3 linked regions of the Elephas maximus indicus genome follow. Each later gene encodes a partner of the first gene's protein in a complex. Links are inferred from orthologs where the notes say so. Each region holds a gene or a part of one and is shown in the gene's direction. Other genes may lie near its edges.

The links.
Region 2: the proteins of INTS4 (region 1) and INTS7 are in contact, whole or in part, in a cryo-EM structure (PDB 8RC4), measured with the Homo sapiens proteins. The link is inferred for Elephas maximus indicus from reciprocal best matches to the Homo sapiens genes INTS4 and INTS7. Residues at the interface, in NP_291025.3 of Homo sapiens: Glu536, Met539, Asp540, Arg571, His572, Ala574, Tyr575, Asp578, Ser579, Ser610, Phe613, Arg620, Leu624, Leu627, Gly631, Glu634, Leu635, Phe638, Arg641, Asp642, Arg645, Leu646, Glu648, Leu649, Gln650, Lys677, Leu678, Trp679, Asn680, Val681; in NP_056249.1 of Homo sapiens: Lys137, Asn138, His140, His141, Arg144, Gln145, Gly175, His205, His206, Asp207, Ala208, Ser244, Ser245, Leu246, Val247, Lys282, Thr283, Pro284, His285, Thr286, Thr321, Ile322, Lys325, His326, Gly686, Tyr689, Glu704, Gln707, Gln708, Leu711.
Region 3: the proteins of INTS4 (region 1) and INTS11 are in contact, whole or in part, in a cryo-EM structure (PDB 7BFP), measured with the Homo sapiens proteins. The link is inferred for Elephas maximus indicus from reciprocal best matches to the Homo sapiens genes INTS4 and INTS11. Residues at the interface, in NP_291025.3 of Homo sapiens: Leu159, Asp161, Thr162, Arg167, Tyr203, Gln207, Asp244, Ser292, Gly294, Trp296, Arg299, Lys323, Met326, Ser327, Asp328; in NP_060341.2 of Homo sapiens: Pro183, Trp191, Lys194, Asp212, Gln288, Gln400, Gln404, Lys462, Met465, Ala466, Leu469.

What each region holds. Positions count from the first base shown.
Region 1 is NC_064825.1:44,096,556-44,106,878, forward strand, and holds the start of INTS4 (integrator complex subunit 4), read left to right. Parts: upstream 1-4,157; 5' UTR 4,158-4,290; coding exon 4,291-4,344; intron 4,345-6,399; coding exon 6,400-6,594; intron 6,595-10,323. UniProt on the Homo sapiens protein: Component of the integrator complex, a multiprotein complex that terminates RNA polymerase II (Pol II) transcription in the promoter-proximal region of genes.
Region 2 is NC_064842.1:636,148-646,470, reverse strand, and holds the start of INTS7 (integrator complex subunit 7), read left to right. Parts: upstream 1-5,074; 5' UTR 5,075-5,226; coding exon 5,227-5,320; intron 5,321-10,323. Other genes in the region: DTL (denticleless protein homolog), read right to left, coding at 4,724-4,775. UniProt on the Homo sapiens protein: Component of the integrator complex, a multiprotein complex that terminates RNA polymerase II (Pol II) transcription in the promoter-proximal region of genes.
Region 3 is NC_064821.1:39,919,463-39,929,785, reverse strand, and holds the start of INTS11 (integrator complex subunit 11), read left to right. Parts: upstream 1-4,617; 5' UTR 4,618-5,126; coding exon 5,127-5,154; intron 5,155-10,323. Other genes in the region: CPTP (ceramide-1-phosphate transfer protein), read right to left, coding at 1,415-1,937, 2,327-2,448.

The sequences.
Region 1 (10,323 bases):
AAACTACTTATACCCCCAACCACATCAGTGAATCTCAAAAATGTAATGTTGGTGTCTTAGTTATCTAGTGCTCCTATAACAGAAGTACCACAGTAGATTTATTCTTCCACAGTCTAGTAGGCTTGAAATCCAATTCAGGGTGTCAGCTCCAGTGGAAGGCTTTCTCTCTCTGGCGGCTCTGGAGGAAGGCTCTTGTCATCAATCTTTCCCCGGAGTAGGAGCTTCTCTACACAGGAACCCCACGTCCCAAGGATGTACTCTGCTACTGGCACCACTTTCTTGGTGGTATGAAGTTCCCCTACTCTGCCTGCTTCCCTTTCCTTTTATCTCTTGTAAGATAAAAGGTGATGCAGGCCACACCCCAGGGAAACTGCCTTTACGTTGGATCAGGGATGTGACCTGAGCAAGGGTGTTACATCCCACCCTAATTCTCCTTAACCACAGTAGAGATTATGATATATAACACATGGGAAAATCACAAAATGGAAGACAACTACACAATACTGGGAATCATGGCCTAACCAAGCTGACACATTATTTGGGGATACAATCCAGTCCATCCCAGTTGGATAAAAGAATCCAAACACAAAAAGTACATACTGTATGATTCCATTTGTATGATTTTTTTAGGACAGGCAAAAACAGTGATAGAAACGGTTGTCAGATGTGGGGAGAGATTGATTAGAAAGGGTATAAGGGAACTTTCTGGGCCGTTGAAAATGTTCTATATTTTGATTTGGGTGATATATATGCGTCAAACTCATCCAACTCTATACTCAAGATCTGTGCCTTTTATTGTATGTAAATTTTATATCTTTAAAAAAATAATTTAAAGAATAGAAACTTATTTTATTGGGAAAGAATTGCACCAAAGAGCTCACGGTCATGGAATTCATTGATCTTCTCAGGGGCATCACTCAGATGTAGCTGCTATGATAAAACAGTGTAATGGCCATTTGCAGATTCAGTTATGGTGCTAGCTAAGAGACAACACATCGCAAGTTTGGGGTGCTATCTTAAATGTTTGTGGCTTATGCCTTAAGCAAACAATTAAAATATGGTATTCTTTTTTTTTTTTACTCTACTGTTAGAATTCACTATCTGGGAACCAAGGGATGGAAGTTGGAGTGGTTTCTTTCACTTTTATGCCTAATAACTCATGCATGAATGTCCTGGATTGAATTATGTCCCCCCCAAAATGTGCGTATCAGATTTCTGGTATTGTGTGATTTTCCTACATGTTATAAATCCTGCCTCTATGACGTTAATGAGGGAGGATGGATGGCAGTTGTGTTAGTGAGGCAGGACTCAATCTACAAGATTGGTTTGTGTCTTCAGGCAATCTCTTGAGATATAAAAGAAAGAAATGAGCAGAGAGACAGGGGGACCTCATACCACCAGGAAAGCGATGCTGGGAGCAGAGCGCATCCTTTGGACCCACGGTCCCTGAGCAAAGAAGCTGCTAGTCCAGGGGAACATTGATGAGAAGGCCAACAGAGAGAAAAAGCCTTTCCCTGGAGCTGATGCCCTGAATTTGGACTTTTAGCCTACTTTACTGTGAGAAAATAAACTTCTCTTTGTTAAAGCCATCCACTTGTGGTATTTCTGTTATAGCAGCACTAGATGACTATGACAGTGAATTCTTGGGTCAGTGGGTTTGGAGTGCGTAGTTCCTGAGGAAGAAACAATTCCATTGGAGAACACAATCATTATTATACTACAATGGAAACTTGAGACTGCCTCTGGGCCATTTTGGGCTCTTGCTGCTAAGCCAACAGGTGGAGAGATAGTTACTGTACCAGCCTGGATGATTTCCCCCTGGAAACTGGGTTTGTGTTCTACAATGGGACAGTGAAGACTCAGTTAGAAACCCAGGGGATTCATTGGGACACCTCATTGTATTCTCATGTCCGATAATGGACATCAAAAGAAAATGGCATCAATTCAATAAACACAGTTTTTCATTTCATCCTTAAAGAATGTGGAACATTCTTGTTTCTATACCAGACTGTCCCTAATTCCTCTCCTCAATCTTATTTCTATTGCTCCTCCCTATTTCCCCCATGCACTTTACTCTGAATCTAAACTGAATTTCCTTTGGTTTTCTGAATGCACCAAATTCCATCCTGCAGCCATGTAACTAATAATATTAACCAAGACAATAATACCATATATTATTGATGTTAAAAGCCCATTTAACATTTCTGAAATCAGGATACATCTTAAAATTGCTTTGGCCAAATGCTCATGTGAAAACTGGGTCATAGTTCATATCATCACTTTGATTAAGCTCTGTGCATTTTTGGTACCACAAGTTTTGTCTTTACTTGCCATTTAAAATATCTTCAAAGAGATTACCCTATAATTTGGCACTTAAATGAAAAATTTTTATGTGTGCAGAAAGGCAGGAAAACACGACAGTATCACATATGATACAAATATATGTCTAAATAAGTTTAAAGGAGTTCTTTCAGTAATATACATAACAAGTCTAACCAATAAGAAACCACTGTTTTTAATTTTAGCATTTTTTCTTAATATGATACATAAAATAATGGTTTGTTCTATGCCTGCTGGCAGCTTAGATTTGATAGAATATGGTAATGGCAATATATTAATGGCAGCTAACGTTTATCGGAGGGCAGTGATGGTTCAACTGGAGAATTCTCACCTGCCTTCCATGTGGGAGACCCACGTTCAGTTCCTTGCCAAGGCACCTCGTGCACAGCCACCACCTGTCTTCCAGTGGAGGACTGCATGTTGCTATGAAGCTCCACAAGTTTCAGCGGAGATTCCAGAGTAAGGCAGACTAGAAAGGCCTGGTGATCTACTTATGAAAAATCAGCCAGCGAAGACCCTATGGATCACAACTGTCTGAGCCCCAACAGATCATGGGGATGGCAGAGGATTGGGCAACGGATAGCGTATCCTTCTCCACACCATAGCAGCTAACAACATCATTTATTGCAGGCAGTTTGCCAAAGTGCTTTTCATTTCACTTGATGCATTTGTATGTGCTGTAGTCTGAGATGTCTTTCCTTTTACTCTTTTAGAGCCAGATTAGTAATCCTCTTCTCTGTGAGGCTTCCCTGAGGCATCCTGAGGAAGTTGTCTGAACTGCATTCTTCCGCTATCCAGCACTTGGGGTTGAACTGTAATGATCAGTTTGAGTGTCTGTCTCCCCAATTTGGTTGTAGCTCTTGCATGCATTTTTTGGTCCTCTGTACCTAGCACAGCCTCCTGCTTTTTCTAAGCATCTTACATTAACTCTTAAAAGAACAATGAACAGCGAAAGTTTGATGTACTGCGTAAAACTCCACCTTGGATTTATTAATACTAACACATGAACTCCACAGTATAGAATATTTCCACGTTTCGTTTCGTCATTACTACATTTTCGTCAGGTTAGGCATTATCAGTGCATTCGTAGTTGAGGCCACTTGCTCGTCAAGTGCCAAAAACTAGCTTGAAGGCTAGTTTTTTGACACTGGGCCTGGGCCTTCTTTCCACTGTACTGGTGGCGCAGCGGTTAAGACCTACAGCTGCTAACCAAAAAGTCACCAGTTTGAATCCACCAGCCACTCCTTGGAACCTGCCATATGGGGTCGCTATGAGTCCGAATCGACTGGATGGAAACGGGTTTGGTTTTGGTTTGGTAGCTATCAGAAGAGAGAGCGACTCCTTAAAGGATGGACAGCTTTTGAATAACCGTAGTTTGGGAAGAAGAAAAGGCACCTTGGGCCAGAGGAGGGGTGGCGCACGGCTTGAACGGAGTTCAAGAAAGCGACAATTAGCAAGCATTATAAACAACAAAGGACGATAGGAACCTCAGCTCGGCCTCCTTCCGCTATTTTGCCAGTCAAAAACCCTTACATATCTCCAGGTTTTGCTTCTAGCTCTGAATCGCCCCGCCTCTGCCCGTTAATCTATATTTCCTCCTTCCCTTCGCTCAACTTCAGCGCCAGCCTCTGGGCCACTCTCAGACCACCAGCAATCCCCCAGAAGCTCCTATTGGCTCGTTCACCCTTTCAGTCCTGTCTTCTCCCGGCAGAGGCCCCGCCCCTTCACGCTAAGATTCCGTTTTCGTCCCCCCCGGCGCACGAGGCGTAGGCGGACAAGCCCGGCCGTACCGCTCCGGGGCAGTAGAGCCGCAGGAAGTGGCCTCTCTTTCCCAGAGCCCCATTGGCTTGTGGGATAGCGGCGAATTTGTCCAGCCTTGACCGGTTTTCCGGATCCCTCCACCCCGCCTCCGGTGGTGAGTACGGAAGCTGCGAGGGCCCGTGGGCAACCATGGCGGCGCACCTTAAGAAGCGAGTGTACGAAGAATTCACTAAGGTGGTTCAGGTAAGCGTCGGCATCAAAGTTCCCAGGACACTTCCGCGGCGGGGACGGTTATCCAGGCTCCAGGCACTTTGCCAGAACAGGCGCCAACCAGTGTTGAGCGCTTACTCTATCGTAGGGTTTCTGAGAGTACACGTTAGTGGGCGTGTTAGTTTGCCTGTACTGTTGTCATTAATAGCCTGACGCAATTTTTCTTATTATTAGAATAAATAAATGACACTTTACATTTTACGAACTTTGTTTCATCCGTTATCTCATTTTGTTTTCTCACACAACTTGTTAGATCGGGTTACATTATCCTAGTTTCACAGATGTTGTTATTGAGGCTTCCGGAGGGGTACGAAGACACAGTGCCTACTAGTCCAATTCCCAACTTCTCCAAAAAAACCTCCAGGGGCAAGGTGGCAGTTTGCAAAGTTATAAGCGGCCGCGAGAGAAAAAACCTGGCGATCAGCTCCCGTAAATATTTCAGCCTAGAAAACCCTGCGGGACAGTTCTACTCTGTAATAGGGTTACTATGCGTCGGAATCGACTTGATTGCACTCAACAAGAACACAAGGGACTTGAAGAAGAGTCTATAGAGGTCTTCAAGGCCCACGTGTCAAAGCAGGCAGAACGCTCCATTTGTGGAACAGCTGCCCTACGAAGGAGGGTGATCTTGTGTCTTTGAAGCTGTTTAAGAAAGGTGGGTTTAGCTCCCGTTTAGCAGCCGTTGATGCTCTACATGTCTCCATTTAGCTGTCGGTGAAGTAGAGGCTGATCTCAAATCATCCGTTGGGAAGTTCTTCACAAACTTTGTTGTGTATACAAATTACCCGAGGATATTGTTAATATGTCAGTTCTACTCAATATGTCCGTCAGGCTGAGGGAGGGGAAGGGAGGCAATATTCTGCATTTCCTACAAGTTCCCAATTGATGTCAATGCTTCGGATCCTTAACCATCCTTAGAGTTTCAGACTTGTGGAGTAGCAAGGCCTAGATGATCCAGTAGGAAGCTGATCCTTAAACATTTCATTCATTCATTCAACAAGAATTTATTGAGTCGATGAGGGATTACTATGTGCCAGGCGTTGTGAAAAGTGTTGGTCTACAAAGTCCAGTACACATCAGGGTCTCTGCTGTTAAGGAACTCACAGGCTAATGGGAGAGACAGGAGAACATATCTGTAATTGTAATACAGAGAGACAATTGCATTGACAAATCAAATGTTTCTTCCTTTCTCTTTTGCATCACCATCTTTTTGTAAAACCAAACTTCTTAGCCCTTTGCAGTCTGACAGTATTCCTTCCAGTTTAATCACTTGTCACTTTCTTTTTTCCCAACACTGTTGTTCCCACTTCCCAAGACTATTCTCCAAGACTTCCCCAGTGTGCCTTGTGTTTGCATATCTCCAAACTTTTGTATTTGTTCTGTTGCAAAGAATGCATACCATTTGTCCATCTTTTTTGTTCCTCACCCAATTCAATTTTATACTTTTGCTTCAAGATCCAATGGAAACTTTAGTGATAGTTTTAGTCTTTTTCTTCTGCTTCTATAGGACTCTATTGCACTTATCTATTTGTACTTATTGCTCAGTACTGCAGTGACCAGTGTGTATACTCCCAGCATTCTGGGCTCCTTGATGGCAGAGATGACATCTGGGTTCATCTTTGTCACCTGAATGGACCACAGGGCCTGGCTCACTAAAACGTTATTATTGATATCTGAATGATATCAGTTCGTCCTCCCCATTAGATAGTTTCTTAGGGAAAAATCTTCCCCAAGTTTTGTCTTAACTGCAGCCGAGATAACACTAAAGACTGGATTTGTGTAGAATAAGCTGGGAATGGATAAGGGTTTTAAAGCAAGCAGTTTTTCACTTTAATCTGCATGAGTGGTTTAGTGATGAAATGAGATCTTAGCCTTTCTGTTCTTTTTTCTCTGCTGTGAGGAGAGAGAAGTGATATGTATCTTGTGTTTATTATGCGTATGTACAGTAAAACCAAACCCAAATCAAGTTGATTCTGATCTGTGTTTTCAGTTAGGTCTTCATGTCTTATCTTCCCTTCTTCTTTACAGCAACAGCAAGAAGAAATTGCTGCCAAGAAACTCCGACTAACAAAACCAAGTAAATCTGCAGCACTCCACATAGATCTGTGTAAGGCTACTTCCCCAGCAGATGCTTTGCAGTACCTACTCCAGTTTGCCAGGAAGCCCGTTGAAGCAGAAAGTGTGGAGGGAGTAGTCAGGATTCTCTTGGAACATTATTACAAGGTAAGGAGAGCTTGAAGACCTATGGGGGTATATATGAGAGATGTATCATATCTGTGGAATGAGTTAATATTGCAAAATAAAGAAGGTGTTCATTTAGCAGTCGTTTACTTAGTGCCTTCCATGTGCTAGACACTATGATTACATAAGTAAAAAAGATCCACATCCTGTCCTCGGAGGCTTAGAGTCTACCAGGTGGTAAATGATACTGCATCAAACTGTTGTGGGTACTGTCAGCCCAATACATACAGAGTGCAGTAGGTGCACAAAGGAGGATTTGACATGTACCATGACCCTTCCACAACCAGACTCAGCTCTGTAATGTAGTTCCCTCATCATCACCCCTGCTGTTACCACCCTGATTCAGGACTTCATTGTAGTAATTACAGTAGCTTTCAGCCTTGCTCTCCCCCCACTTTTTTTAAATAACTTGGCATTCTTTTTTCCAGGTATCTTAATGGGTTAGGTAAAATATCAACTCAAGCATGATTAAATGTGGAAATAGTTTAATCACAAAATATGTTTATTAGTTTGTATAGTGAGATCTGAAGTAAAAGAAAAAATCATTTTCAGATTTTTGAATCACAGATTAAATTTTTAAACCTTAGTATGAAAAATTTTAAACTTACAGAAAAGGGGAGAAAATGGTATAATGAACTCTCAAATACCCATCCCAGAGATTTTAAAGTTATTACTATTTTGCCAAATCTGCTCCATCTATTTGTTTTCCTGAAGTTTTTTAAGGTATCATATTCTGCTAAAAAGTTTAGTAAATAGCTCTAAAAAAAGGACATCTTTTTTTTTTTCTTTTTTAAATAACCACATGACTACATCTGACAAAACTAATTCCTTAATGTTAGTCCATTTTCAGATTTCTTTAGTTTTTCCCAGATACTTGTATTGAGATGAAATTCACACAACATAAAATTAACCATTTAAAGGATACAATTCAGTGGCATTTAGTACATTTATAATCTTACACAACCACCACCTGGATAAAGTTTTAAAACATTTTCATCACCCCAAAAGAAAACCCCTTACCCATTAAGCAATCACTTCTCATTTTCTCCTCTACCAGCTGCTGGAAAACACCAATCTGCTTTGTCTCTGTGGACTTAGCTATTCTGGATGTTTCATATCTAATATGTGACCTTTTGTTTCTGATTTCTTTCACTTAGCATAATGTTTTCGAGGTTGCTCCCAGTTATAGTATGTATCTGTACTTTATTCATTTTTTATGGTTGAATAATATTCTGTTGTATGCATATACCACCATTTGTTTATTCATCATCTGTTGAAGGACATTGGGTTGTTTCCACCTTTTGGGTATTGTAAATAATAATGCTATGAACATTTGTGTACAAGGGTTTCAGTATCTGTTTTCAGTTCTCTTTGGTATATAACTGGGTATGGACATGGTGGGTCATATAGTAATTCTGTTTAACTTTTTGAGAAATTGCCAAGCTTTTCTACATTTTATAGTCCCACCAGCGTGCATAAAGGTTCTAATTTCTACACATCCTTGCCAGCACTTGTTATTTTTCTGATATAGCCATCCTAGTCAATGTAAAGTGGAATCTCATTGTGGTTTTCATTTGCATTTCCCTGATGACTTATGACTTTGAGTATCTTTTCATGTGCTTATTAGCCATTTGTCTTTCTTCCTTGGAGAAATGTTTATCAGGTCCTTTGCCCAATTTTAAATTGTGTGTGTGTGGTTTTTTTTTTTTTTTTGGTCTTTTTGTGGTTGAGTTATAGGAGTTCTTTATGTATTCTGGTACTCAACCCCTTATCAGCTATGTGGCTTTCAAATATTTTCTCCCATTCTGTAGGTTGTCACTTTACTTTGTTGATAAAGCCTTTTGATGCACAAAAATTTTAAATTTAGATAAGTCCAGTTTATTTTTTATTTTGTTGCTGATGATTTTGGTGTCATATCTAGGCAACCATGGCCAAATCCAAGGTCATGAAAATTTACCTTTTTGTTTTCTTCTAAGAATATTATGGGTTTAGTGCTTATATTAATCATTAACCCGTTTTGAGTTAATTTTTGCACATGGTATAAGATAAGGATTCAAATTCATTCTATTGCATGTGGAAGTCCAGTTGTTCTGGCATCATTTGTTGGAGAGACCGTTCTTTCCCCATTGAATGGACTTGACACCTTGTCCAAAATCAGTTGGCCCTAGATGTATGGGTTTATTTCTGGACTCAATTCTATTACATTGGTCTATGTGTCTGTCTTTATGCTAGTATCACACCGTTTTAGTTATTGTATCTTTGTGTAGGTATTGAAATCAGGATGTGTGAGTCATCCAACTTTGTTCTTTTCCAGTATTGTTTGGCTTTTTGGCCCTTGCAATTTGATGTGAATTTGAGGATCACCTTTTCCATTTTTGCAAAACAAGCTGTTGAGATTTTGGTAGGGATTGTGTTCAATCTGTAGATTGCTTTGGGTAGTACTGACATCTTAATGTTAAGTCTTCCATCCATGAACATGGGATATCTTTCTGTTTATTTAGGCCTTTTAAAATTTCTTTCAACAATATTTTATAGTTTTCAGTGTACAAGTCTTTCATCTCCGTCGTTAAATTTATTTCTAGATATTGTTTTAGCTGCTATTATAAATGCAATTGTTTTCTTAATTGTCTTTTTGATTGTTCATTGCTGTTGTAAAGAAACACACCTGATTTTTGGTCGTCGACCTTGTACCCTGTGCCTGTGCTCAATTCTTCTATTATTTCTAGTAGCTTCCTTGTGGATTTTTTTGGACTTTCTTAATATAGGATCATGTCATCTTCAAATGGAGATAGTTTTACTTCCTCCTTTCACGTGAAAGAATGGATGCTTAAGGGAGAGAAAGGAAGAGAGACACTAATACTTGACTGCCCATTATGTGCCCATTTCTGTGCCAGTTGTTTTCTCAGTATCCCTCTGAAGTTGGTGTTATTCCCATTTCAGAGATGAGGCTCAGAGAGGTTAATTAGCCCGTTTAAGGCGTAGAGCTGTTACATAGTAAATATGAGCTGCACACCTAGATCTGGCTAATTTCAAAGTCCTTTTTCTTTCTGCTGCATCTCATAGCTCAAGGTTAATTTCTCAAATAAATAACTTTGCCGAGGTTATGTACATAGTAAGTGGCGTAGGCTTGCCAGAATTCTAGATCCTCTGACCCCGTATCTATTGTCCCTTCCCCTCCTTCAGGCCTCCTTATTGTGCCAGTCACCTCCTTAGAAAATATAGATGACAGATGGGGAATTGGTCATATTTGAAATGCACTTCTGCCTTTGAGCACCCTGGTGGTGCAGTGATTAAGAGCTATGGCTGCTAACCAAAAGGTTGGCAGTTCTAATCCACCAGTTGCTCCTTGGAAACCGTATGGAGCAGTTTTACTCTGTCCTATAGGGTCATTGTGAGTTGCAATCGACTTGATGGCAACCGGTTTTTCCTTTGAGCATACTTTTGAGTAATTTTGTCTTTGGTGTAGGAATGTGTTTACCTAATCTTAAAAAAATCTTAGCACTGGTAAATTACTTTTAATCCCCGAAAACACATTTCTGATTAGAAGTTAACAATACCAGAAAGGCATAAAAAAAAAAACTCCACTTTTCAGTATTTGTGTATAACATACTGATTGAGAAGAGCTCTTTCCCTGGAAGTACAGAAAGTTTTCAGAAATGAAGGCTTACATACTTGGATCATTGAATCTCTTTGGGAGGTTAGTTTCCTGTT
Region 2 (10,323 bases), on another chromosome or scaffold:
TAAAGACCTCATAAACACTCACCCAGATCCATCTCTTCAAAAGATGTACTACCAATGAAATTTGATTTTTTGCTTAACAATTATTTATCAAAATAAGTAATCTACACCGTTTTGATCAATTGTGTACTACTAATAATCATAGTAATAACTCAGTCCAGAAGAAACTTCTAACAACTGGAGCCCTATGACAAAGAAATCATCAATGTAAAAATATTTTTGACACAGAGTAGTATAATAAGTGATTAATAAAAGAACTTTTCGGACATAAAGTTAAATTATATTGGGATAAATTCTGTGAGGGAAATAAAATGCAAAAAAGTTAAAGGGGGAAAAGTAACTATGTAATATGTAAAGCAGTTAAAGAAGATTTTGTTCATATTTTTAAAAAGTGAAGAATGTAATCCACAAATCATCGTAGTTTTTATAACCTAGTCGATACATTGGATTGCACTGGGCAAATCTGGTACAAAACACTTCTTTAAAGTGTTACAAAACAAAGATGTCACTTTGAAGACCCAAGCCATGGTATTTTCAACCATCTCATACGCATGAAAAAGCTGGGCAATGAATAAGGAAGACTGAAGAATTGATGCCTTTGAATTATGGTGTTGGCGAATATTGAATATACCACGGACCTCCAGACGAACAAAACCAATCTGTCTTGGGAGAAGTACAGCAAGGATGCTCCTCAGAAGTGAGCATGAAGACTTCATCTCTTGTACTTTAGACACATAATCGGGGGAACCACTCTCTGGAGAAGGACATCATTCGTGGTAAAGTAGAGGGTCAGTGAAAAAAAGGGAGATCCTCCATGAGATGGACTGGCACAGTGGCTGCAACGACGCACTCAAGCATAACGGCGATTGTGAGGATGGTGCTGGATCGGGCAGCGTTTCATTCTGTTACGCGTAGGGTTGGTACGAGAGTCAGAGCCGACTCCCCAGCAACTAACACAGAACACACCTCAGTACTGGCTGTCATGGATTGAAACACGTCCCCCAAAAACATGTGTGTCAACTGGGCTAGGCCATGACTCCCAGTACTGTGTGGTTGTCCTCCATTTTTTGATTGTAATTTTATGTTGAGAGGATTAGCGTGGGATTATAACACCACCCTTACTCAGGTCACCTTCCTGATCCAAGGTAAAGGGAGTTTCCCTGGGGTGGGGCCTGTACCACCTTTTATCTCTCAAGAGATAAAAGGAAAGGGAAGCAAGCACAAAGCTGGGGACCTCATGCCACCAAGAAAGCAGCACCAGGAGCAGAGGACATCCTTTGGACACGGGCTCCCTGCGCCTGAGAAGCTCCTCGATCAGGGGAGGATTGAAGACAAGGACCTTCCTGCAGAGCCAATAGAGAGAGAAAGCCCCTGGAGCCAATGCCCTGATTTGGACTTGTAACCTACTAAACTGTGAGGAAATAAATCTCTCTTTGTTAAAGCCATCCACTTGTCATATTTGTTATGGCGGCACAAGATGACTAAGACACTTGCTTTTTTATTTTGTTTTATTTTGAGTGGTCAGCCATTGTGGCCTCTTGAGTCCCCCAACTTTAAATGTCTGAAGGCTTCTGGTCTCCCTGGGAGTTGGCTGAGATGCAGAGGCAGCCAGGGCTTACCTGTACATGCACTTAAAGACCAGTTCAGTAAAAGCACACAACTTAAAGAAAACACTCTTGAATTAAATTCTCTATAAGCACATGCATTTCAGTACTCCTTTGGCTACGTGACTACATAAATCCCCTTCCTCGTAAGTCTTTCTAGCTTACGGGTTCCTTGGTAAACTGATGAATAGAATAAAATTCTTGACATGTGTCTCCTATATTTTGCATTAAGAACCCTGTTTTTAACTTTTTTGAAAATTACTCCTTGATGGGTGTATTACAGGGATCTTCACAGAAGTGACGTTTTACCTGGACTGGTTCCCCCATCTGATTCCCTGTCTTTCAGGACCTCTTCCCTGAACCCCCTGAGTAGGATGGGGGCCTTTAGTAGAACAGTAGTGTTCCCCCAAAATGCCTCAGGCAAAATTTCCTCTATCATTGCTTATGATATTGTTTTTTAAAAGTATGTGTGTTATTTCTGCATTCTGTCTCTTAGAACTTGTTTTTAATTACATAAGTAATGTATGAATGCATTCTACAGGCAGTCCCCTGTTGTTCATAGGGTCGTTACAGGTCAGAACCGACTTAAAGGCTCCTAACAACAACAGATACATTTAAAAAGGGATATAACATTTTAATTTTAAATGTCAGTATTCACAATATCAAAATTTATATTTTTTGTATCTGTTTAAACTTAAGATAAAAAATTTTGATACCAATTTAAAAATGCACAGGAGTGATCAGATTTCCATTCTTGAAAATATTTCTGGCAGCAATCTGGAGAATAAACTGGAGGGGGGAAACTAAAAGGCCACTTGGGAGACGTAAGAGTCCAGATAAGACGGTATTAGGGCCCAACTCAGGGAAATACCGTGGTAAGGAAAGAACAGGTCTAAGATGGAGCGAAGAGGCAGAATCGATGGTGATAGAGAAGACAGGACAGAGTCCAGAGGCTTCACAGAATCTTTTTGAATGTATATAGTAAAGATAGAGGAGTCTTGGATGATTTCAAAGTTTCTGGCTAGGAAGACTGGTTTAAAATAATGAGCCCAATCCCTAAATTAGGTAATACAGCAGGTTTTGGGGAAAACAGTTCAGTTTTGGGCATCTGAGTTTGAGATGATCATGGAACCAAATATCTGGGTGAAGATGTCCACACAGCTTTTATAGGAATGGGTCTAAAGCATAGGGGAGGGAAACTGTAGCAGTGGAAGAGGCCCTGGTTATGACACTGAGCATCTAATAGAGTAAGTGGAAGAAGAAAACGAGCCAAGGATGGAACACTAACACTGAAGGGGTAAGGAAAACAAGACAGTCCTGTAAATTTCAGTGTTTAACGTATAGCAGGAGTCCCTGGGTGGTGCAGTTAACGCGCTTGGCTGCTAATCAAAAGGCTGGTGGTTCGAGCCCACCCAGAGGTGCTTTTGAAAAAAGGCCTGGCGATCTACTTTCAAAAAAGCAGCCGTTAAAACCCTATGGAGCACAGTTCTATTCTGACACACATGGGGTTGCCATGAGGCAGAATCGACCATTCAGCCAGCAACTGGTGGTTAACAGGTAGCAATGAATGAATTCTTGTGAATTGGAGAAAGAAAGGGAGAGGAAGAAGTAGACAGATAGACTGGAGAATTAGGAGAATATTTGTGGCAAGATAGAGGGGCTTGCCTCAGGTCACACAGATAGCAAGGAGAGGAGCTGGAATTAAAACTCAGTCTAACTCCAAAGACAGAGCTCTTCATCACTGTGCTGCCCTACCTACCGATCGTGACACAGAGGTCAGAGAAATTTCTCATGTAAGGTCCTAGGAGAGATAGTAAGCAGGGAATTTAGAAAACAGCCAAAAAAAAATATTTAAGAGGGAAGTTAGTAGGGATGGTATGTAGTGTTAGACTGGTAGCGGGAAGCTGAGGGGCTGCTCCTCAGTCTCCCTCCCAACATCCTTTTCCTAGACCTTCCTCTTAAATACAGAAAGTTCCCTTCTCAGGTTCTTTCCTTTTCGTTTTCCACAGAGTTTCAAGGGGAAGGAAGACCTTCCAGTGTAGTCAACATTAAAATATGTGACATTTAATTTGTCTAAGTCTAGCCTAGGTAGCAACTCCCTTATCAGTTTAAGTTTCATACAGAAAGTTTTAGACACCGAACTCCAAGTTCAAAACTCTTGCTGACAATGTTTTATAAGGAATCGAAAGAGCTGTAGAGAATAAGTTGGATTTCTACATAATATGGAAAGACATCCAAGTTATACCGTTAAAATGAAAAACAAAACATTTTTATCTCATTTCCGTAAATAACAATACATATTACCACTGGCATAAAAAAACACCCAAAATACTATACTTCAACCATCAACAGTGGTCCTCTCTGGGGGATGTTCTGATTACGGAGATCTTTCATTCTATAATTTCGAGTTTTTATGAACATGTAATAATCAGGAAAAAAAAAAAAAAAGACAACTTTTGACCTTCTAGAAGCACATGGTCTAACTTTTCTGCTTGAGCAAGTTCCTTAGCAGCGCGTCCCACTCATTCGTGGATCATCTAGACATCGGTTCTAGGACCAATGGATGAGTTAACGCACACGCGCCGCGCACGTTGTCCAACGCCAGCACCTCAGTTAACGCTGCACACAGCTGTGGGGGGCGCCGCGCACGTTGTCCAACGCCAGCACCTCAGTTAACGCTGCACACAGCTGTGGGGGGCGCCGCGCACGTTGTCCAACGCCAGCACCTCAGTTAACGCTGCACACAGCTGTGGGGGGCGCCGCGCACGTTGTCCAACGCCAGCACCTCAGTTAACGCTGCACACAGCTGTGGGGGGCGCCGCGCACGTTGTCCAACGCCAGCACCTCAGTTAACGCTGCACACAGCTGTGGGGGGCGCCGCGCACGTTGTCCAACGCCAGCACCTCAGTTAACGCGCGCCACAGGCGCGAGGCCGTAAAGCGCCCCGGGGGTCAGTCAGTTAGCTCCCCGCCCCTCCGGCCCGCCCCGAGGCGCTGAAAGCACCTTTCCTCAGCAGCCCGCGCGAAGGCTCTGCTGGCGCCGCGGGACACTCGCCGGGCCCGGGTGTCGTGTTTCGGGGAGGTGACCCCCAGCCACGAGCGGCGGTTAGGACCGTTACTCACCATTTCTCGGGACGCCAAGCTGGGGCTGGCGGAGCACCAAACTGAAGAGCATCTGGGCCAGAGGAAGACGCGCAGTTGAAGAAAAGGCTCTGAAATGCCCTAGGTCCCGCAGAAACCGCAGCCTGCACCCCAAGAACAAGACCAGGCGCTGCCTTCCACTCCCGCCACTGCAGGCTCCAGCCACCAAACTCCGCGCCAAACTGACGTCACGCTCTCTGATTGGCTCCCGCCGTGGCGTCATGGCGCCGCAGAGTCACTTCCCCCTCCGGAGCCCCGCCTCCTCTTCGCCGGTCCGCGGGAACCCAGAATTCAAGAGCCCCTTGAGCGCCTGCGCGGGGGGTCGAAGAGGCGCTGGCGAACCGGGGGATGGCCAGGGCGCATGCGTAACACGGCTTGCCAGCGCGCGGAGGGAAAATCCGCGAGAAGGCGGTGAAGGAAGATGGCGGGGTTGGGGCAGGGTTTGCGGCCTTTCTGAATAGGCTAGTCAAGTAACTATTCAGGTCATGGCGTCAAACTCAACTAAGTCTTTCCTGGCAGATGCCGGCTATGGCGAACAGGAGCTAGATGCGAACTCCGCCCTTATGGAACTGGACAAAGGTATGGGAAGGAGAGGGGGAGCCGGCTGAACGCATGAGAGGGAAGTGGCGCCCCCAGGTGGCGGGAGCCTCGGGAGAGGCGGCGGGAGCGCGTGAGAGGGCAGTGGCGCCCCCAGGTGGCGGGAGCCTCGGGAGAGGCGGCGGGAGCGCGTGAGAGGGCAGTGGCGCCCCCAGGTGGCGGGAGCCTCGGGAGAGGCGGCGGGAGCGCGTGAGAGGGAAGTGGCGCCCCCAGGTGGCGGGAGCCTCGGGAGAGGCGGCGGGAGCGCGTGAGAGGGAAGTGGCGCCCCCAGGTGGCGGGAGCCTCGGGAGAGGCGGCGGGAGCGCGTGAGAGGGCAGTGGCGCCCCCAGGTGGCGGGAGCCTCGGGAGAGGCGGCGGGAGCGCGTGAGAGGGAAGTGGCGCCCCCAGGTGGCGGGAGCCTCGGGAGAGGCGGCGGGAGCGCGTGAGAGGGCAGTGGCGCCCCCAGGTGGCGGGAGCCTCGGGAGAGGCGGCGGGAGCGCGTGAGAGGGAAGTGGCGCCCCCAGGTGGCGGGAGCCTCGGGAGAGGCGGCGGGAGCGCGTGAGAGGGAAGTGGCGCCCCCAGGTGGCGGGAGCCTCGGGAGAGGCGGCGGGAGCGCGTGAGAGGGAAGTGGCGCCCCCAGGTGGCGGGAGCCTCGGGAGAGGCGGCGGGAGCGCGTGAGAGGGAAGTGGCGCCCCCAGGTGGCGGGAGCCTCGGGAGAGGCGGCGGGAGCGCGTGAGAGGGAAGTGGCGCCCCCAGGTGGCGGGAGCCTCGGGAGAGGCGGCGGGAGCGCGTGAGAGGGAAGTGGCGCCCCCAGGTGGCGGGAGCCTCGGGAGAGGCGGCGGGAGCGCGTGAGAGGGAAGTGGCGCCCCCAGGTGGCGGGAGCCTCGGGAGAGGCGGCGGGAGCGGGCCGGGGTGGCCGAGGGCTTCGGCGGCTGGTGGGAACCAGAGGAAGGCTGCAGGGTCGCCCTGTTGGCCTTGACCGCATAGCTGGCTGTCTTACCGGCGAGCTCTCGTCATGGGCATTTTGGCCACTTGAGGGGACGATCCCCTGGTTTTCCAAGCACTGAAAATGGCTCGTTTCTAAAAATGCTAAGGTGAAATTATTTTTTGATATGTTCAGTTGAGCCCAGGTTTTCATGAAGGGTGCCGAAGAATAATCTTGCGCCAGCGCTGTGAAGATTGAGTGGGTCTCCGTAACTCCTTGCTGCGTGCGGGATGCCACGCAGCTTAAACTCGGGAAGGCTTGGTCTCCCCCGTCCCCGCAAACGGGCTCCCCGAGCCGTTTCCTAGGCGACCGGGCGGGGGCGGGCTTCCTAGGGTGGAAGGAGGAGCTTTGGGTGCCCTGAGTTCAAGTTCAGTGCTGCAGGCTTCATCGTCACGGACAGGTACCTTACTTCACCTAGCCTCGGTTTATCGGCGTGGGAAGGGGGTGCAGGTACTAATGAGAAACTTGTTCCACTGCACTTGAGGAATTTTTATTGTGTAGGAAAAGCATATTTTGCAGCTGATACAGTTAATTCTTGATTATCCGCAGCCAGTGTGTAATGTACTGAGAATTGGACCGTGAGTCAGAAGGATCTGCCTGTAAGTCCCCTCTGAGCCGACTTGGACATGTCTATTAACTTCTTTGGAACTCCTTTTTTGATTTTCTTTTCTTGTTTTGCTTGTTCTTTAACCTGTAAACATTTTTAGTAGGTTGACTAGATAAGAGTTTCTCACACTTTTTTTCTCTTTTGGCATTTACCTCCTTTTTATCAATATAAAAACGTCACAACGCCCCAATGGACTGTTCCTTTGCTTGAGTCTCAGTATCTTTATCCATCTTCTCTAGCCAAGAAAATGTTTAGCTTTGCTTTCGATTACCAAAGCTATAAGTCTTTCCCCTGAAATATTAAATTGTAATATTAAACATGTTTTTTAAACACTACACAGTCTTTCCCTCTCCATCCTGATAGGCTTTTCTCCCTTATTCCCCAGTGTGAGTTGTGGGTCTTGTGCTGTCTGATACACAGCTGGCCTTGTCCCATGCTGACAGCAGGACAGTGTTTGTACAGCCGGGATCAGGATGGGGCACTGAAGAAATGAGAAATCTAGAATTATTTAATTTCTGAAAATTTGCAGTTGTGGTAGAAATAACAACTAAATTTTCTCTTAAAGAACAGTTGAAATAGGAATACTTTAGGTCAGTAAGGAATAAGTGGATGGCTACTGACTGTTCAGCTGGAAACCAGATGTCAGCCCTCGATCCTTAGTGTTTATGTTCAGTTCTCCCAGCAGTGCCCTGGGGAGTATTGTACAGATGAATCTCAGACTCAGAAAGATAACTTGTCCAAGATAAGTACAAAACTCTTGTTCTTTTTCACCTCACCATGCTGTACCTTTGAAAGCTGTTAGAAAATTAAACTGCAGAAATAGTTTCATTAGACTATATAGTATTTTAAATATTGAATCATTTCGTTTTTTACCTATTAACAATGTTTTATGTTTTGTGAGCCAAAGGTCATAGTCAGAAGGCTACAAGTTCCAACTTTTTGTTTTCCAGAATGTAGTCCGAGGAATACTGTTTATGAAGTATTTAAAAATCCCTGTCTCTCTCTCTCTCTAACACACGTGCACACACACACATCTTATTTGATCAGCAGTTAACAAATGAAGATCAGTAGACTCATTTTTACATATGACTGAGTGCTATATCTTGTGACTTACAAAGGGAATTATTAAGCATTTCTAAGAGTTGGTATTCACAGGCTGAAATTAGTATTCTAAGAAATGTGGATAATGCACGATATTCCATGTATCCTACTATGTACATTTACAGGCAGAATTTCTGAAAATTGGGGGAAGGGTGCTTTATTATTAATTCATTATCAGTTGAGCGGACTGTCATTTCAGTTGTTTTTATTCCTGCTTTTTAAATGTAAATTACCGAGGCTTTGTCCTTATCAATTTAGTGAGCTTTGGGTTATCAGAGAGGTAGCTGCCATCAAATCGACACCAATCATGGCGACCTTATGTACAACAGAATGAAATGTTGCCTGGTCCTGCACCATCCTTACCATCACTGTCATGGTCGAGTCTGTCATTGTGGTTGCCATGCCAGTCCATCTCACCAAGGGTCTCCCTCACCCACCCTCTACTTCACTAAATGTGATATCCTCCTCCCATGGTTAATCCTCGTTATGAGACATCAAAGCAATCGAGTCAGACAGTGATCTGTTATGATCCATAAGGTTTTCATTGACTAATTTTTAGACATAGATTGCCAGGCTTTTCCTCCAAGTCTGTTTTAGGCTGGAAGTTGTGCTGAAATCTGTCCCCCTGCCGTGCCGGCAGCAGTCGTGGTTGTGTTCTTAGTGTACAGTGGTCGCAGCAATGGCTGCAACATCCCTGGATGACAGCAGAGCTAATTGTAGCATCTGGTACTCATGGTGTCAGAATCTTTTGATGAGGGCATTCTTCTTCAGGTTGGATGTAGCTAGCAGCGGAACCCCTCTTAGGTCAGGATTTGATGGACTGAGCTCCTGTTTTGGGGTCCTTAGCTTAGTCTTGAGTCGAAATTGGCTTTAGAGCAAGCAAGATGGGTACCACAGCCTCCCCAGCCTACGGTTATCGCTGAGGCCATAAAGCACTTCTCTGCCCTCTTGCACCCAGGTCCTGTCTGTCAGCGCCAACCTAAGACTCTTTCTCCTAAGACTGTTACATCAGAAAATAAACCAGAGATTTATTACTATTTGGTTCATTTATCCTATGGCTCTGTTAGAGGAATGGGGGTTTATTTTATCTTAGATAAAATTAAGCAATACTAGAAATCAGAACATGTCTCTGACCATATCAAGATTATCTTTGGTACATTTTAGACCGGCACATTTATTAAATCAGTGTGGCCTGTGACTTTGTTTTCTAAGGGAAGATAAAACGTGGTCATATCGGTAGGGGAGTCTCCCCACACATGGGCTATTCCTGCTTTATCTTTTTCCCAACCAAGGTAAATTCGTTACAGAAGGAGCTTTACCATCCTTTGCATTTAACTCGACAACTGGCAGTGAGAAGCGGAGGAAAAAAGTCCTCTTACTGTGGATTTTCCCAACAGCCCCTGCCCCCGTGCGTGCACGTGAGCGCACATCTTCTGTTCCTTCTCCCTTCCTCTCACCTCCCATCCTCAGCCCTTGCTTTCCTTCTTCTGCCCTTCCCTGTGTCCTTTGCTGCCCTATCTGCTTGTCGCTTCACCCTGGTTTCATATCGGGCTTTTAGAAAAGTCTTCCTCAGGCTACAGGAGCCACTGCCTGTGACTTAGAACGTCCCGACCACACTGCCTGTTTGGTGGGAAGACTCTTCTAGAGTCTCAGAGTGTGTGAGAGGGGGAGGGGGAGGACAAGAACAAGGGATCAGACAAAGAAGGGGCATGTTCCCAATATCCCAATCAGGAATTTCAATTAACTTGAGTTAATTTTCCTGTAGAAGCTTCTGTCAGTGGTTTATTCTGTAAGTGGTTATTAGGTTCTAGACTGCTGTGCGTGCTGGTGAATTGTTGTAGCTCCTGTGAGGAAATACGTTTCAAGTATTCAATAACTGACTTGAGTGTATTTACAGAACATAACCGGTTAGTAAGTTGTAGCAACTGCCAGTGCACACTTAGTTTAGTCTTTTGTATTGAAACAGTGGCACCCAGATAAAGCCTTCATGTGAACATATCCCTTGTCGTTTTTTAACAACAGCAGAAATTACTGAACAAAGATTTATTTATTCCTTCTGCAGATATAATCCACATTTTTGTGAATGGTAAAGTACTAGAAGGGAATATTCGAAGCTGGTGCTATTAACTTCATATCAAAGTATTCTTTTTTTTTTCTTAATAGATTTTATTATGCCAGTTGACTTAGATGTCCTCTGAAACCATTTGCCCATGATACGCTGGCTTTCAAAGCGTTCAGTTTATTCAGGAACCTTCTTTGCTTTTGGTTTAGTCCAGTTGTGCTGACCTCTCCTGTACTGCGTGTTGTCTTTCC
Region 3 (10,323 bases), on another chromosome or scaffold:
TGAGCATAGGAGGAGCCTGGGGGACAGCTTGTAGAGCCCCTGGGGTGTCTGATGAAGCGACCTCGATGGGGTAGAGGGGGATCCTGGTGGTCCCAACTCTGGCCAGCTCCAGCAGATGTTGGTGCAGGCTGGTCTAGGCACCTCCCCTCTGTCTCTCCGCCCTGTCCTGTGGGGGAGGCCCCTGCTGTGTGTGCATGTGTACGGCTTCACACACAGACACATGTGCACACACATAACGGTGCATACGCATAGGCGTACAACCATATGCACACATGTACACACACACACACACATACCTTTTCTGGATCAAGGAGCACCCATCCTGGACCCTTCCAGGGCTGCACACTGCTAGGCCCCTTTTACATCCCTCCTAATGCCCTCCCCCAACCGGGTTCCTCCCCATCTGGTGAGGCACCTGGCACATCACAACACTTCCATCTGCAGAGTTAGCTTGTCCAGTAAATGTGATTTATTCATACTGGAAAGCCCAACATGCGTTACAATTTCCCAGGGTCAAGTCCACCCGAAAGGTTCACTGGTACACGTCTGTTCCACACACACTGTCCCTGCAGCCCAGTGTCCTGGGTCCACCATGAGCAGACATAGTGGGAGAGGCCACCTGCCTGCCTGGCCTAAGGACGCCAGGTCCAGAACCCTCCTTGCACCAGGCCCATGCTGGCCTGCTGAACACCATGTTGGGGGCAGCAAGGGGCAGGGGAGGGGACACAGCATCTTGGGGAGCTGGGGCAAGGGGACACCTTGGTCCAGCAGCATATGGCTCCCCGGGGGCTTCGGGACTGTGCAGACCACAGGTGACTAACAGGGGAAGCGCCTGCTGTGTCCTTGAAGCTGACACATCTGCAAGGGGCAGAGAGGGAGCTTCAGCGCCAGCTGTCACTGTGGGCCCGAGGCCTGCTCAGCACCTGGAAGCACCGACTGGGCGGTAGGGGAAGAGAGAAGCCCATAGAGCCCAGGCTGTGACCCAGATGTCCCCTCCCTGCCCTGGCAACGGGCAACCCAGGAGGCCTTACACCTGGGCAGACACAGGGGCTGCTCAGCAGCATGTGTTGTGGCCTGAGGCAGGTATAGGAAGGACACACACACCTGGGGTGCTGGAGAGGGGGTCTCTGAGCTCCTGGGACCGTGACCACCACTTCACAGACATGGGCAGGCGGGAGGACTGCTGGGCTGCAGTGGTGAACACCTACTCCACCTGCCCCTCCTCCACCCCTGCTGCCTTTCTGCTCCCAGGACCTCTGTGAGCCCAGCGGAGCAGATGTCTGCTGAGACACCCAGGGAATGTGGGATGGTCACAGACTGACCAGGACGGCAGAGAAGCAGACAGCCAGCACCCACTTCTCTGTCAGTCTGCCCCAGCATGAAGGAGGACGCAACGAGAGGACCGCCCGCTGCACTAGGGGAGGTCCAGCAGTGTGTGCTCTGCATAGAGCTTCTGGACAACATCGTAGACACGTTGGAGGAAGGGTAGCGCCTCATCCAGCATTGCTATGGCCTGCTCAGGTGGCCCCACCTTCATGGCCTCCAGGAAGACCTTGCGTGTGGGCAGGGCACAGAAGGCCACGGTGACAGCCTGGCGTACGACCCAGGGGTGGTAGGCAGCCAGTGAGGCATTATACGAGTCAGTGCAGAGCGTGGAGGTGCGGGCATTCTCAGGGCTGGTACGCAGCCTCTCCAAGAACAGCTGCAGCCAGCGCAGGGCTCGGTGTAGCCGCAGCACAGTGCGACAGCCCGAGTCAGGGTGGCGTGAACGCCGCTGCAGGTCCACCAGCTGGTGGCCCACCTCATAGGCCACCATGGACTGCAGGCTGGCATAGTGTTCCCCCTGTGGGCTGCTACGCAGCCGCTCCATAATCTGCAGCTTTGCCACCACGTCCTTGGAGATGAACGCAAAGATGGCACCCAGACTGTTCAGAAACCTGCTCAAGGGAAAGCCGGAGCTCAGTCTGTGCTTCCCAGGGTCCCATGCCACCTGAGGGCAGGGCCTGGCAGGGTCTGCAGCGCCTCCCTCCCACCAGGGCTGCAAGAGCTGAAGCCCCAACCCTGACCCCTCCTCCCAAAGGCGTGGGGCCCAGGCATGTCGCTTGAAAGAAGCCAGGTGCTGCCGGCCTTAGGGCCAGCACCCAGCTCTGTACCCGGCTGGCAGGCACCAACCTGGTACTTACAAGCACCTGCAGGAATGTAGGGATCAGAGAAGGGGACCTTTGGCTAGGAAAGCCCTGCCCCAAACCAGTTCCTCGCCACCTCTGGGGCAGGAGGCCCCTCTGGGGACACTGACAGTCGCAGGGAGTCCCGCGCAGGCACATACTTCACCAGCCCCCACCAGCCGCTGAGGTAGTGGTTCATTAGGATCTCCTCTTTCTCGTTGAGGCACTGCTTAAAATCAACCATGACGACTTTCAAGTTGAAGTCTGCCTCCGAATCATCCATTTTCAACAGGAACTGAAACACACAAAGCTCCCACTAAGTCAGCTTGTTCTGCACTGTGTTTTTATTTTTCTTCCGTAGGAAAGGGGCGGGAGGGGGTGGAAAGAGCTGGGATCACAGGCTACCTACTCAGAGCCCTGCAATGGCACCCCACCCCCCAAAATGGAATTCTTCCTAAGGCGGGCCCATCTGCCTTCCAGACATGCCATGCCTCCTGTCCCTGCCTCGAGGTCTTTGCCCTGCTGTGGCCTTGCCTGGAACCCTTGTAAAGAGATCTCCACCTGGGTCTCGGTGAAGCTGTCCCTGACCAACCGCTTAATGCGGCATACCCTCCCAGGCTTCCTCAGACGCCTCTGCTATGTTTCACTGCGGTGTGTGCTCTAGCCACTGTCCTACTTACGTGCTTATTTGCCATCTGTCTCTCACTAGAGTGTGTGTCTGTTTTTACTGTGCTGTTCTTGGCCCTCGGGACCCACTGTGAACAGGTGAGTCCTGCCCTGTCAAGGTGATGTTCTAGTGGGAAGGATAAACAACAACCAGTAAACACAGGGGATTCCGATGCAGCATATGAGTTGGTGAACCTCAAAGAAACAGAAGCATGACAGCAAGGCAAGAGGCAGGGAGGGTAGTTGGGCAGCCTCCCTCCTTCCTCCATCACTGTGGCACCCCCTGGGCCAGAGCTGTGGCCACAGAACCATCTTTTCACTCTTGCTGCTGAAATTGTACACGATCTGTGCAGGAGGGTGGCAGGGCCAAGGACCTTACCACACTCTGAAGACAGGCCCTTCCTCCAGCCCCAGGGAACCTGCCAGAAGCATCCACAGACCAGAGGCTACAAAGGCACTGCTCTGGACCCTGCATGCACTCACACATCACTCCACAACACTCAAGTGCCCACGCAAGAGTGGGTACCACTGGGAACCTCAGCCCCTGCCTCCCTGGGTATGCTACCCCAAGGGCATCAGCCTGACATCTGAGGGTACCTGCAATGGAGCCTGGGGACTCAGCCACATGTCACCTTGTATCCAGGACAAACTTGTGCCTGGGGGTTCCTGTGCCCCTTGATGCTTGGAGCCCTGATTTGCCCCCTCACCCCCGTGGGGTCCCTAGCATGGAGAAGACCAGCTGTGATGACACCCCCAACCAGGAGGACAGCTGGTTCCTCAGTGGGCAGGTCACTCACCATCCTAAGACTCTGCATCTCTGGGAAAAAAGGAGTCAACGCGCCCTGCCCTGTTCACTCCCCGGCTGCTGGGAGCATCTGGGGGCACCAGTAAGTGCTGAAGCCCTGCAGGCCTTATGAGTTTGGCTGCATGCCTGGCTTTGGGTGGAGCCCCAACAAGCAAGCTCACTGTGTCTACAAGTATGGAGTCCCTAGAGATGAGTTCACTGTGTCTTCAGGTGCCGGGGAAAGGTTGGGCCTGGGCTCAGGAGGATGGTGCCCGAAGACTTTAGGTAGCGTCCCCTCTCAGGGCCTAGTTCTCTGTCCATTGAACAGATGGTCTCTGAGGCTCTGGGTCTCCTTCCTGGTCACCAGACAACCTGCCGCTGGGGCTTCCTGCCCAGGATCACAGCCAACAGGAGCTGCCAGTGAGCCTTTCACAGCTGTCAGTCTGCGACAGGAAAGGTGGGCAGCCTGCCAGCTCAGGTAAGGTGATTGCAGAGGCTCAACCAAGGCTCCTCAAGGGGCAGGCAGCCCCAAGGTCAGGGCTGGGAGGGAGGACAGCTTGGGCACTGGAGTTTGTGACTGACAGCAGGCTGGAGTCCTGGCCAGAGAGTGGGCAACCTGGCGCCCAGACCTATGGGTGGGTGCGGAACCCAGCAATTTGGGCCCCTGTCCAGGAAACCTGTAAGTCTCACCTGGGAAGGGGGCTGCGGAGGCACCAGGGTAGGGTCTGCGATTCAGAAGAGAGTGGGGTCGGGCCCTGGGCAGGTCTTGCTCCAGTTGAGGGCACCGGGATGGGGAGGCATAGGACGGTGGTGGGGGGCCGCCTTGCAAGACAGGACTCAGGCGCCCACCCCGCCGCAGCCCTCCGCGAGGGTTCCCCTTCCCCGCTTCCGCCCCTGGGGTCCCAACAGTTGCCCCTCGGACCCACACCAGGCTCCTCCACGGCTCCAGACCCGCCTCGGTCGGCTCGGTTGGGTTCGACCCTGCCCGCCCCGCCGAGTCCGGCCGGAAACGCTCACCTCCTCCTCCGCTACAGCCTTCTGCAATTGCCGGGCCGGCCGTGCCGGCCCCGCCCGCCCCTCTCAGCTCTAGGCCGCCGGCGCCGCCCATCGATTGGTTGCGGGGAGTCCAATCAGGAGGCCCAACGAGCCCGCGTTTCCGGCGAGCAAACCAGAAGACGGCGCTGTTGGGGCAGGGGTTGCGCCTGCGCAGTGCTTCGCAGCGCGTCGGGCTCCCGTACAGCCAGCGATCCTGGTGGTCAGGGGTCCTAGTGTGGGGGCGGTGGGGTTGTGCTTGGAACGAGGCGCCGCTGGCTCAGTGATCACTGAGGAGCGGAGCTCGCCCTTCTCCCGGGGGACTGGGGCCTGCGCCCCCCTCGGCCGTTTTCCTTCCCCGGTTCCCTCCCAGCCTAAGTCCCCGCGGGACCCCGAGGACGCGGCGGGAGTTCAGGTGCGGCGTGTCGGCCCGACCCGGCCCTGCACGTGCCCCGAGCCTGGGAGTTCGCCCAGTGAAGATGCCGGAGATCAGAGTCACCCCTCTGGGTAAGCTCAAACCCACCGTCAGGAGGAGCTAGAGGAGATTGGGATTCGAATGGGTGACGATGACCTTTGGTGGAAGTGCCCCGAGCCAGCCCCCCCCGGGAGCCCTTCATCTGTTTTCACTCTTCATCGTCACCACAACCCTGGGGGTTAAGGACTCCTATCCCCATTTTAGGGACTGTGTAGCTGGCTCACAGAAAGCCTCGGTAACTTACTCAAAGCCCACAGCCATCACCGTGTTGTTACTGTTAGGTGTCATCGAATCAGTTCCAACTCATAGCCATCCTATGTACAACACAGCGAAACACTGCTTGGGCCTGCACCACCCTCACAATCATTGTTATGCTTGAGCCCATTGTTGCAGCCACTGTGTCAATCCATCTTGTTGAGTATCTTCGCTTTTTTCTTTGACCCTCTAGTTTACCAACCATGATTTCCTTCTGCAGGGACTGATCCCTCCTGATAACACGTCCAAAGTATGTGAGAGGAAGTCTTGCCATCCTTGCTTCTAAGGAGCATTTTGGTTGTACTTTTTCCAAGAGGGATTTGTTCATTCTTTTGGCAGTCCATGGTATATTCAATATTCTTCTCCGGTACCACAATTCAAAGGCGTCAAATTCTTCTTCGGTCTTCCTTATTCATTATCCAGCTTTCCCATGTATGAGGCAACTGAAAATACTATGGCTTGGATCAGGTGCATCTTAATCCTTAAAGTGACATCTTTGTTTTTTAATACTTTAAAGAGATCTTTTGCTGCAGATTTGCCTAATGTGATGAATATTTTTATTTCTTGACTGCTGCTTCCATGGGTGTTGATTGTGATCCAAGTAAAATGAAATCCTTGACAACTTCAATCTTTTTTCCATTTATCGTGTTGCTTATTGGTCCAGTTGTGAGGATTTGTGTTTTCTTTATGCTGAGGTGTAGTCCATACTGAAGGCTATGGATTTCATCAGTAAGTGCTTCAAGTCCTCTTCATTTTCAGCAAGAAAGTTGTGTCATCTGCATATCGCAGGTTGTTAATGAGTTTTCCTCCAACCCTGATGCCGCATTCTTCATATAGTGCAGCTTCTTGAATTATTTGCTCAGCATACAGATTGAATAAATGTGGTGAAAGAATATAACCCTGACACACACTTTTGCTGACTTAAAACCACACAGTATCCCCTTGTTCTGTTTGAGTGACCGCCACTTGATCTATGTACAGGTTCCTCGTGAGCGCAATTAAGTGTTCTAGAATTCCCATTCTTTACGATGTTATCCACAATTTGTTACAATCCACACAGTTGAATGCCTTTGCATAGTCGGTAAAACACAGGTAAACATCTTTCTGGTATTCTCTGCTTTCAGCCAAATCCGTCTGACAACAGCAGTGATATCCCTCATTCCACATCCCCTTCTGAATCCGGCTTGAATTTCTGGCAGTTCCCTGTTGATGTATTGCTGCAACCACTTTTGGATTATCTTCAGCAAAATGTTACTTGCGTGTGATGTTAGTGATGTTGTTCGATAATTCCTCATTCTCTTGAGTCACCTTTCTTTGGTATGGGCACAAATATGAATCTCTTCCAGCCTGTTGGCTACATTTCTTGGCATGGATGAGTGACCACCTCCAGTGCTACAATGATTTGTTGAAACATCTCAATTGGTATTCCATCAATTCCTGGAGACTGGTTTTTCACCAGAGCCTTCCAGGCAGCTTGGACCTCTTCTTTCAGTACCATGGGTTCCTGATCATATGGTATCTCCTGAAATGGTTGATCGTTGACTGATTCTTTTTGGTATAGTGACTGTGTATTCCTTCCATCTTTTTTTTTTTTTTCCCCTTCCATCTTCTTTTGATGCTTCCTGAAGTTGCTTAACATTTTCCCCATAGAATCCTGCACTATTGCAGCTCGAGGCTTGAATTTTTTCTTCAGTTCTTTCAGCTTGAGAAATGCCAAGGGTGTACTTCCCTTTTGGTCATCTAACTCAAGGTGTTTGCATATCATTATAATAGTTTACTTTGTCTTCTTGAGCCACCTTTTGAAATTTTCTGTTCAGTTTGTTTATTTCACCGTTTTTTCCATTTGCTTTAGGTGGTCAACATTCAAGAGTGAGTTTCAAAGTCTTTTCTGACATCCATTTTGGTCTTTTCTTTCCTTTTTTTTTAATGATCTCTTGCTTTGTTCATGTATGATGTCCTTGATGTCATTCCACAACTTGTCTGGTCTTTGGTCATTAGTGTTCAATGCATCAAATCTATTCCTGAGATGGTCTCTAAATTAAGGTGTGATATACTCAAGGTCATACTTTGGCTCTCATGGACTTGTTCAAATTTTCTTCAGCTTCAGTTTGAACTTGCATATGAGCAATTGATAGTCTGTTCTGCAACTGGCCCTTGGCCTTGTTCTGACTGATGATACTGAGCTTTTCCATTGTCTCTTTGATTGAATTTGATTCCTGTGTATTCCATCTGGTGAGGTCCAAGGGTATAGTTGCCCTTTATGTTGTTGAAAAAACGTATAAAGTCATTGGTCTTGGAAAATTTTATCGTGTGATTCCGGCATAGCTTCTATCACCAAGGCCATATTTTCCAACTACTGATCCTTCTTTGTTTCCAACTTTCGCATTCCATCACCGGTAATTATTGATCCATCTTGATTGGATGTTTAATCAATTTCAGACTGCAAATCTTCAATTTCTTCACCTTTGGCCTTAGTGGTTGGTATGTAAATGTGAATAACAGTTGTATTAACTGGTCATCCTTCTGGGTGTATGGTTGTTATCCTATCACTGACAGCGTTGTACTTCAGAATAGATCTTGAAATGTTCTTTTTAATGATGAATGCAATGCCATTCCTCTTCAAGTTGTCAAGCCCTCAAAGTACAACAAACTGACAGATACATGGGGGCAGTCATCACCGTGAGAGGTTCAAATCCAGGCAGTGTTTTTCCGCCACGTGGTACTGCCTGTACATGGGTCCCGGCTTTTAGAATCCTTTCCTGGATGCAGCTTCCTTGGACTCTTAGGGCCGTGCTGAGAGGGGGTGGGGCTGCATGGCATTCCTTCTGTTCTGGTGAGGACACTGAGGCCTGAATCAGTCCCTAGCCTGAGGTCGCTTGGTCAGCGTGTGCGTGGAGATCCTGACCTCTGTTCTGGCTGCTCCTGCAGGTGCCAGCTCTGTGGAGAGTGGTTAAGGGATGGGCTTTGGGGTTGTATTCTGTCCTGCTAGTAGCTGTGTGATGCCACATCTCCGTCTCTCTGTATGTGTTCTGACAGCGAGGCAGGTGTGAGCTACCTAATCTCAGAAGGCTCTGAGGTAAAGTGCTCGCCCCCATGCTTGGCACAAAGTCAGTCTTCGGCAGATGCTGCACTGTCCCTGGGCAGTGGTGTGGGAGACCACTCAGAGTCTCTCCCACCCCTGTGACCTCACGGTTGTTTCCTCTGTCAGCGTATTTGCCTCCCCTTGCACATCGACCTTTGCCCACCTTTGCCCTTCGTGTCTCCTCTGACCTCACCTCTTGCTCAGCCGTCCACCCTCTCATTCTGTCTTACAGTCTCTCCACTCGGCACTGCTCACACCAGGGTTACCTGCAGCCCCGTTTACCCAATACAGCAATCAGCACTCAGTTCAGCAAAATTAAAAAAAAAATAGCTTTATTTTTTGTAAGACGTACATATGTGCATTATGAAAAGTCTTAATAGGAGTCCCTGATTCTTGCAAATGGTTAATGTGCTCAGCTGATAAACACAAGGTTGGAGGTTTGATTCCACCCAGAGGCACCTTGGAAGAAAGGCTTGGCAATCTACTTCGAAAACATCAGCTATCAAAAATCGTATGGAACACAGTTTTACTCTGACACACATGAAGTCATGATGAGTCATGATTGGCACCATGGCACCTAGTTTAACAGTGCTAAGGAGAAAAGGGGGCCCTGGTGGTGCAGTGGTTAAGAGCTTGGCTGCTAACCAAAAGGCTGGCAGTTCAAATCCACCAGCTGCTCTTTGGAAACCCCATGGGGCAGTTCTGCTCTGTCCTGTAGGGTTGCGATGAGTTGGAGTTGACGTGACAGCAATGGGTTTTTTTTAAGGAGAAAAGACTCACTCAAACCTAGGGTCCCAGAAGCAGCTGGGGCCATCCCCTGGATGCCCTGGGCACTCTGTGTGCCTGGTGCCACTCTGGAACCTGCCTCCTTCCCTGGGCAGTATGTCAGGGGCATCTTCCATGTCTGTTCCCACAGCGCTGAGCTTCTCACCAGTGAGTCCCTCCCTGCCCCAGCACAGACACTGAGCTTGGCTCCCAGGCTTCTCAACTTATGCAGCTGTTGGCAGAGCTGCAGTGAATGTCCCACCCCTGGCCTCCAGGACAGAGTGCACGCCCCACGCTTCCACAGGATCACCACCTCCACAGCCTTTTCGACAGCTGTGGCATGGGGTCCCCTCACCTGCTGTGGCCCCATGCCCTCCCCAGTTGCTCTCCAGAGGCTTCTGTGGACTCCTCCTTCCTGGCCCCCATCCCAGCCCACCTCTTTCCCACTGCCTGTTCTTCCTGATGGGGAGCCATGGTGGTACAGTGGTTAAGAACTCAGCTGCTAGTCCAGAGTTTGGCAGTTCAAATCTACCAGCTGCTCCTTGGAAACCTCATGGAGGTATTTCTTCACTGTTCTGTAGGGTTGCTATGAGCTGAAACTGACTTGATGGCAATGGGTTTGCGTTTTTCTTTTTTGGTTCTCTCTGACAGCACTTTCTTATGGCTTCAGTTACCCCACATCTGCACTTGGGTCACCCCAAAGCCACCTTACCACCATGAAAACAAACCCTTTCTGCTCACCCATTTTTCCTTTGCCAGTTACACCTGCGCAGCTCCCGGGCAACAGGCGCCCAGGCAGCAGGTTGACACCCAGTATCACAGGCGCTTCCAGCACAGGGCCTGTGCGCTGCTCCCCTGTCCTGGCTCCCCCATCCTTTTCAAGAGGAAGTCCCTGTGGTGGTGCTGCAGTGCCCGAGCCCCCACTGCCCCCGTACCCCCACTGTGTTTTCACTTTGCTACTTGTGGCTGTTGCCATCTGCCGCCCTGGACATGGTTCTTATTGATGAGTTCGTTATCCCTCCTCAACCTGGAATGTAAACTCTGTGCGGACAGGGATTTCCCTTCTCTTTTTTTCCCCTCCTAACTGACTCCTGCCCTC